Linked DNA regions of Sus scrofa. The protein of the gene in region 1 interacts with the protein of each later gene in a biochemical or structural test. Links are inferred from orthologs where the notes say so. Each region holds a gene or a part of one and is shown on either strand. Other genes may lie near its edges.

Region 1 (4,086 bases):
ACACAGTAGAGATGTTGGACTCAGACCCATTGCTTTGATCTAACATTCTAATGGAGTTTAAGCTTCTTTATTACATGCAAGACTGAAAGATATTCAAAGATTGAGGCTTTAGTACATTAAGCAGTTTTTTTTTAAGGAACCCACACTTTCATAGATCTCTAATTTTAGAACTTGTAAAATAGTTTAAAATGAGATGAAGTTGCACAAATATGATACTTTCAATTTTATTTAAATCAAATAAAGCTGTGATTGGTATGAAGAAACTAGTATAGAAACTACATAAATTTAATTAACATAAAAATTTAAAGACAGAATCCTACTGCCTAATTATCTTATCCTGAAATAGTTAAATGCAAAGGATAAATTAAATGCAAACATGTAGACATTACACGATGTACACAGTGGAGTCATAAAACATTTTATACTGTCTTATTATAAATGGAAATAATATTTCACTTTTCAAACACAGAAAACAAAACAGTAAATATCATATTTTCCTTTTTTTCATTATTTCATTTTATTTTTGTATTATGAGTTGGGAAAGAATATTACTGGTAAAAAAAAAAAAAAATCTGTAGGAACACAAAAAACCCAAAACATTCACTTTCATTCACTTGAATCAATCAGGAAGGTTTTTAGGAGTTATCCCTATGGTGCAGTAGGTTAAGAATCTGACTGCAGTGGCTCAGGTCACTGCAGAGGAATGGGACAATCTCTGTCCTGGCGCACTGGGTTGCCACAGCTGTGGCATAGGTCATAGCTGCTGCAGTACCGATTCAATCATCCTTGGCCTGGAAACTTCCATATGTGATGGGTGCAGCCATTAAAAAATAAAATAAAAAGGAAAGTTTTTAGAGGGAGAGCATAAATGGTGCTATGAAGGAGTCACCGAGAATAGAGAAGCCGTGGAAAATCTGAAAATATCACTTGTAAGGCAAAACAGGGTTGCGTACACAAAGCACTATAAACAGTTGATGGTAAACTTTAAAAAATAATTTCCTAAAAATGTGAATAGCTTTATTCTTTCAAGGAGAGGAAAGGTATAAAGGCACAATAGATCAAGCCACCAGGTCTGAAACTAGTATTGTTGTCCTGATAAAAAATTTTATTTTCTAAAAAAGGAGACCCAATACGGATTTCAATTTTATCTCATAGTACCCTCATGTTTTGATAAAAACTGTTCACTCCGGTAACCTTGAATACTTAGAGGCAGAAAGTACTTCTTGATAAAATATTGTAGTAAATTCAAATTGCCACAAAAATATGTGCCCCAAAATTCACTAAAAATAGATTATCACGTAGGAATATTTTTATTAAGAGATTTATAGTGACTATTAATTAGAATTATCTTAGTCAAGTGACTGTGATTAATTTTCTTTTTGGGGGTGTGTTTTCCTTAGCATGTAACATAAAGTCTCGACAATTTTTTCCACTAATAATAATGTATTAAAATCAGAAATTGCCTAAGAAAACAGACAAGGAAAAAAAAACATGAGTAAATAACATGTTTCATAAAGTGCTATGGTAGATTTTTTTTGAAAATGTGTTTATTTGCATCAATTGAAGACACTTCATATTCCAGATCAAACACCTATTAGGTTTACTGTGGATATAGACATGCTATGTACAATGGTATTTATAATTCTTCTTTCACTTTTCATAGACTTCAAATTGTATCTCTTATAGAAGCTGGAACAGGGTGAATCTGGAAAGTAAGTTTCAGTTAATTAGCAAAAATTAAATTAACATGAAATAACATGGTGAAGAACTAAGATCATTTTAAAAATAATGAAGTTACACTTAAGTGTACATATGCAAGAAGATACTATAAAATGAGCTGTTCCAGTTTACTTGGTTTTATTTCAACTAACACACTCTAAAATACTGCTTTCATGTATAATATCAAAGGAAATATTAAATGCATGTGTATTGTTTTAAGGGCTTGAAGTATATTTCACATTCTTTAAACTTTACTCAGGCTATAAATATATTTATATATAAGTCAGTTATTTTTTTAAAGTAAATGAAAACTGAAGCATGGGGGGGATAATTTTTCACCTTATATGTCCATATTTGAACTGTCCACTTTTTTTTCTGAAAACTGCATCCAAAATATCAGAGTAATGGACTGTGTTTCTACCTCACACTGCTATTCTTCATGCACTACAATTCTTCATAGTTTAACAAAATGGAATTTACATTTGAAGATGTGTTAACTGACATCAACTTGTAAGTATGATTTAGGAATTAGGCTTCTGAAATCCATTTAACCAACTCAGAGAGCAATGCTAATCTTTCTGAACTTTTATTAAAATTGTGCAACAGTACAAACTTATTGTTAGTGGGTTTGCATAGAAATAACACCATTTATTGGTGCAACACATCTTTTCCAAAGAATTATAGCAGGCCTGTTTTTATCCTTCATGTATACTCTTTTTTTGTTGTTGTTCCTATTTTCTTATTTGTCTTCCGTTTTACATGAAATAGACCATGTTTATCATCTGGCTACCAAAGTTCCAAAATAAGATCCAGTAGTAGTTTGAAGCACAGAGAGCTAAACAGTTTCTTCCCTTTTTAAAGCATGACAGTGAGTGGCATTCTCTGTAGTCAAGCCATATGAACACAGTCACCCCAAGTAGAGACTTCTGTGAACTCAAAAGATTCTACATTCACAGTCAAGAACCTTGGTGATTTCACATAACTGCTACTTGTTGCTGGAAGGGAGACGATACTGTTTGTCTCAGAAGTTTTCACGCAATTTCTCATTTGGTGGCTTCTCCAGATTTCTCTGTGGCTTTTATGATCACTTCTGATATTGTACTTTCAAAAGTCCAAAGGTCGAATCATCATAGTTGTGGAACGTAAAGAGTAACTGGGCCCTTTGAAGTAATGCCACTTTATCCCATTCAGTTTTCCATGGTTCTGTCCCGCTGTATAGAACATTCCATTTAGATTGGATGGGCCACAAGCATCAAACCACCAGCCTGAAAGATTAGTTAATAATGATAGAAAAAAGAAACAATTACATCATTAAAATGAACATTTGGAAGTTAATGCCATTAACTGTGGGGAAACATTCATATGTGTGATTATTTGCAAATAGGGGTTATTTAATAAATATCTTCTTGGTAGTGAAATTGTTTTAAATGGCATACAAACAATCAGAAAGAGGAATGCTCTCATGAAACTCAGCTTTGGTGTCACTCCACTGGGACTCATTTCCCAGTGTACTGATGGGAAGCATCTGGGCTTCAAGACACAATCTAGTCAAGCCTTAAGAGATATTCCACCTGAAGCCTGTTATTGGACATATAACAATTAATTACTAGCAGTGAAGTTCAGAAGCTTAGACAACCGGCATCTAAATAGAGAGAAAGATATGTTCTCCACCTATTTTGAAATTTGGCCAAGAGCTGGCCCTCAGCTGCTTCTGAAATTAATTGGATCCTGGGACCTGACCATGGAGTTGTTTTGCTGTGCCCCCTCCCTGCAGTTTATAGCAATATGAGATGCAGTCATCAACAGTAGCCATGTAATTCCTATATAAAAGCATTTTTTTGGTGATTGTTCAAGTTCTGCCTAAACTTAGTAAGCAGAAAAATAAGTTACATAGAGATGCTAAGCTTTCATAGTTCTCTGCAAGGATAATTCAGTACTTTATTTTTTAAATGAATTAAGTTCTTAGATTTTTAGATAAAACATAGCACTTTTTCTCTCTCTCCTTAAGTAACACTACTAAAATCTTTAGGGAGAGAGCTATGCCAGAGACATTCTGGCATATTTGTATTTGGATACAGTTGACCTCCTTTTGATTATAAAAGTTATACCTAAGGGACTAATAGCTAAAGAAAGAGAGAGCTGTACAGCTGATGTTTAACTGTAACACAAGCATCATTTTCAGAAACTTTTAGAAAAAGTTAAATGGAGAAAAGCTAGTTCTCATTTTTCAGTTTTGGAAGATGCATACAGCTTGGTTCTGTTTATAAAGTCACACTAGAGGCCTAATAAGCCATATTAATCATAAATTCATACTAGGAAAAAGTAAGGTATGTCCACGAATTTGGAAAGACAATGTATTTAATGATG
Region 2 (4,398 bases), on another chromosome or scaffold:
ATGTTGTTGTGTCTCAGGAAATAGGGAGGCCCAAGAAAAGGTAGAGAGATGGGGGACTGGCCAGCCAGTCAGTGGAGCAGTCAGAACACACAGCATTTAGCAATTAGGGGTTCTTATTGCGGCTCAGCAGGTTAAAATCCCAGCATGCTGTCTGGGAGGATACAGGTTCAAGCCTTGGCCTCGATCAGTGGGTTAGGGTTTCTGGCATTGCCACGGCTGTGTAGACTGCAGATGTGGCTCAGATTTGGTGTTGCTGTGGCTGTGGTGTAGCCTGGCAGCTGCAGCTCCCACTTGACCCCTAGCCTGGGAACTTCCTTCTGCCGGTATGGCTGTAAAAAGAAAAAAAAATTATCAATTAAGTTTGCCATCTTATATGGGTGCAGTTCGTGGTACCCCCAAACAATTATAACAGTAACGTCGAAGGTCACTGATCAGAGGTCACCATAACATAAATAATAATGAAAATGTTTGGAAAGTTGTGCGAATTGCCAAACTGTGACACAGAGACACAAGTGAGCAAATGCTGTTGGAAAAAATGGCACCGATTGACTTGCCTGATGCAGGGTGGCCCCAAACCTTCAATTTGAAAAAAAAGGCAACATCTGTGACGCACAATAAAGCAAAGCACGATCAATGAGGAATGTTTATAATGTCGCTCTCATGACCTAATCACTCCAAAGGCCCCCACCTTCTAGTACCATCGCACTGGGCGTTAGGGTTTCCATGTTTGAAGTCTGGGGGCCACACGCATCCAGGCCATGGCACAGTCCTCTAGGAGCAGGTTAACGGAAGCAGGGTTTTCGCCCTTATTTCTGTGAATAGCTGTCCGAGTGCTGCCCCACCGGCCTCATTTTGAGTAGCATTGATCTCATGGGGTTGGGGAACACATGGCTGAACTCCGAATCAAGGTCTAAATATGGGAATTACTCATGTCCCCCACTTTTCACTTTAAGTCACTTCGCTTTTACAAGAGACTTGCGTTTTTCGGACCGAGAGAAATCCAAGGAGGAGTTTTGCTTTCATGCTAAAAGGTGAAAAGTGAAAATAGCATCGAGCATTTGTTTTGCAGGGAGTTATTACCGAGGCAGCTCACCCCCGGAGCAGCTAGAGGGCTGGACCCCCAAGCTCCTTCCTCTGAAACTGCACTCAGCATCTCAGCATCAAGCCACCAGCACTTTGAACTGTGTCTGTGAGCAGCTTAATCTTGGCTTGTTTTGTGCACCCATTAGTGAGAGGTGTCCAGAATGGTTGCTTCTTTGCTTTATGCCATTTTGGCTTCAAGTTTTCCTAGGAACGCTCTCCTGTCAGAGAGCAGGGAGACCCGTGGAGCATTTCTGGGTTATGGTGGAGTCTGTGGTGTGGTGCAAGGAGGTGAAGGCCACAGGAGATGACGAAGTCCAACAGGGGTTTGGAAGGGTCATTAAAAAGGACCCCCCCCAATCATTCAGAACACACTGTGTCTTTGCATAGATGCAGGCACATAAAACCCTGCCCCGGGCATTTCCAAATGAAGCCTTCCCGACCTCTGTACCATCTGCACATCGTCTGCAGCACATCAAGACTCTTAAACTACCTCAAAATGGAATTCTGTTTTTCCTACAGAGCGATTCTAAGCTTTTGGGGGTGGCGATGGGAAGGACAGACCTCTGAATAAAGGGGGCAGGTAGGGTGGCTGTGCTGGCCTCCTTTGCCATGTATGACCAATGGGTGTCTCCCTTGACCCCTGGGTGCCTAGAGGACCCCAGCCCATGGGAGACCTGCTGTGTTTGCTTATTTGGGGCTGGGGACTCCTTTTCTCCATGTTGAACCATCCCCCTTCCCTCCACCTGGCCTCTCCCATTCTCTTCTGTGAGCGGAGGCTGGGACGGGGGAAGGAGAAGAGTTGAGGGGACGGGGAGCAGCAGATGATGCTGGAGAGTGGCTGGGAGGCTGGGTGGGAGCTCCCGCTTAGGGAGGGCTGGCCAGCCAAGGCCCCACTTAGTTTGTACTTTGGATGGTGGTGGTCCTGGGCAAAAAATCCCTTTCTCACATCCTAGGTTTGTTTGTTTGTTTGTTTGTTTATTTTGCCTTTTTTTAAGGTCGCCCTGCAGCCTATGCAGGTTCCCAGGCTGGGGGTCGAATCAGAGCTATAGTTGCTGGTCTACACCACAGCCACAGCCACGTCAGATCTGAGATGCATCTGTGATCTACGTCAGCTCGCGGCAATGTTGGATCCTTAACCCACTGAGAGAGGCCAGGGATCGAACCCACAACCTCGTGGTTCCTAGTCGGATTCGTTTCCGCTGTGCTACTACGGGAACTCCCATACCACCTTCTTTGAAGTCACTATACGCAGCCCACACTTAAGCACCGGGACTCTCCCGCTCTATGAGGCTTTATCTGCAAAAATGAATCAGAATTCTTCTGAAAGGGAGCTATGTCTTCATTCTCCAGCATTTATTTATCTAGTCAATCATTTGTTTATATCGCTGTGAACTCACAGATATTTATTTCATCCTTTGGGTTGTAATCCAATACTACTTATTTTCTTGCTCAAATTGTTGCCGCCATGGCTGGTGGGACTTCTTTCAGTTGGTTCCCGTGTTCCTTTGACAAATCCCCACAAGCGTTACTGGTGTTTTAGGCTGTCATTTGTTCTTTAACCCTTCCTTACTTCCTGGGCGCACAAGATACTCCAGGCTCATCTTGCATATTTCCTATGCCGTTTCTTAGAATGAGCCCCCTCTCCAAGCAGCCCTGGTTGTTTGTTGAGAATGATATTAGAAACCAAAACCTGGGGGACCCCTAGCCTGGGAACCTCCATATGCCGAGGGTGAGGCCCTGAAAAGACAAAAAAAAAAAAAAAGAAAGAAAGAAAGAAAGAAAAAGGATAAAAGGGGCCCTCAAAAGAAAAGAAAAAAAAGAGAGAGAGAGAGAGAGAAGAATGCAACTGCAGAGCTTGGGTTGCTGTGGAGGTAAGGGTTCCATCCCTGGCTTGGTGCAGTGGGTTAAAGGATCTGGTGTTGCCACAGCTGTGGTATAGGTCACAGCTGTGGCTTGGATTTAATCCCTGGCCCACGAACTTCCATATGCCATGAGCGCGGCAATTAAAAAAAGTTAATGTTACTGGAACACAAATAGATCAGTGGAAGAGAAACATCCAGAAAGGGACCCAAATGCAAACAGGAAATTAGTATGCATAAAAAGTGGCATTTTGAATCAGTGAGAAAAATTGGTCCTTTCAATAAATGATGATGTTGCAACAATTAGTAACAGTAAAAAATAAAGTTGGATCCATACTTTATATCATATATCAAAATAAACTCCAAATAGGTCTAAGATTTAAACATCAAAAATCAAGTCCAGAGTTCCCGTCATGGCTCCGTGGAAATGAATCTGACTAGTCTCCATGAGGACACAGTTTTGATTCCTGGCCTTGCTCAGTGGGTTAAGGATCTGGCATTGCCATGAGCTGTGATGTAGGTTGCAGACACAGCTCGGATCTGGCTGGCATTGCTGTAACTGTGGTGTAGGCTGGTGACTGCAGCTCTGATTTGATCCCTAGCCTGGGAACCTCCATGTCCCTCGGATGCCACCCTAAAAAGACAAAAGACAAAAAAAAAAAAAAAAAAAAAAAAAAATCCACAAAAGAACTAGAACACAACGTAGATAAATTCTCTTTTAACTTTGGATTGAGTAATATTTCCAACTAAGTTTTAAAATCCACAGGCCTTAAGAGTTCCCTGGTGGCTCAGCAGCTTAAGGATCTGGTGTTTTCACTGCTGTGGCTCAGGTTGCTGCTGTGGCACGAGTTTGATCCCTGGCTTGGGAACTTCCACATGCCTCAGGTGTGGCCAAAAAGAAAAAAATCCCCAGACCTTAAAAGATTAATTGAATTTACTAAATATAAATAACCCAAAAGGCAAAAATAAGAGGCAAATGTCAAAAATATGTGTAACTCGGAGTTCCCGTCGTGGCACAGTGGTTAATGAATTCGACTAGGAACCATGAGGTTGCGGGTTCGGTCCCTGCCCTTGCTCAGTGGGTTAACGATCCGGCGTTGCCGTGAGCTGTGGTGTAGGTTGCAGACGCAGCTCGGATCCTGCGTTGCTGTGGCTCTGGTGTAGGCCGGCGGCTACAGCTCCGATTCAACCCCTAGCCTGGGAACCTCCATATGCCTCGGGAGTGGCCCAAGAAATAGCAACAACAACAACAACAAAAAGACAAAAAAAGACAAAAAAAAAATGTGTAACTCATTATTACATATTAGAAATCAATAAGGACTTATAAAATCCAATATTTAAATGGGTGAAGATTATGAAAAAGATTGCACGTTAACACACAAGTTCATGGTTCAGAAAGTTTATAGAAAAGTAGATACAAATGGCCCTTGAAACATACTGAACCTCACAGTAAGAG

What was found.
Region 2: the proteins of ANGPT1 (region 1) and TIE1 interact in a biophysical measurement, tested with the Homo sapiens proteins (2 studies listed by BioGRID and IntAct, with this or other methods). The link is inferred for Sus scrofa from reciprocal best matches to the Homo sapiens genes ANGPT1 and TIE1.

What each region holds. Positions count from the first base shown.
Region 1 is NC_010446.5:30,229,906-30,233,991, reverse strand, and holds the end of ANGPT1 (angiopoietin-1), read right to left. Parts: intron 2,985-4,086; coding exon 2,824-2,984; 3' UTR 558-2,823; downstream 1-557. UniProt on the Homo sapiens protein: Binds and activates TEK/TIE2 receptor by inducing its dimerization and tyrosine phosphorylation.
Region 2 is NC_010448.4:167,944,379-167,948,776, forward strand, and holds the start of TIE1 (tyrosine-protein kinase receptor Tie-1), read right to left. Parts: upstream 2,876-4,398; 5' UTR 1-2,875. UniProt on the Homo sapiens protein: Transmembrane tyrosine-protein kinase that may modulate TEK/TIE2 activity and contribute to the regulation of angiogenesis.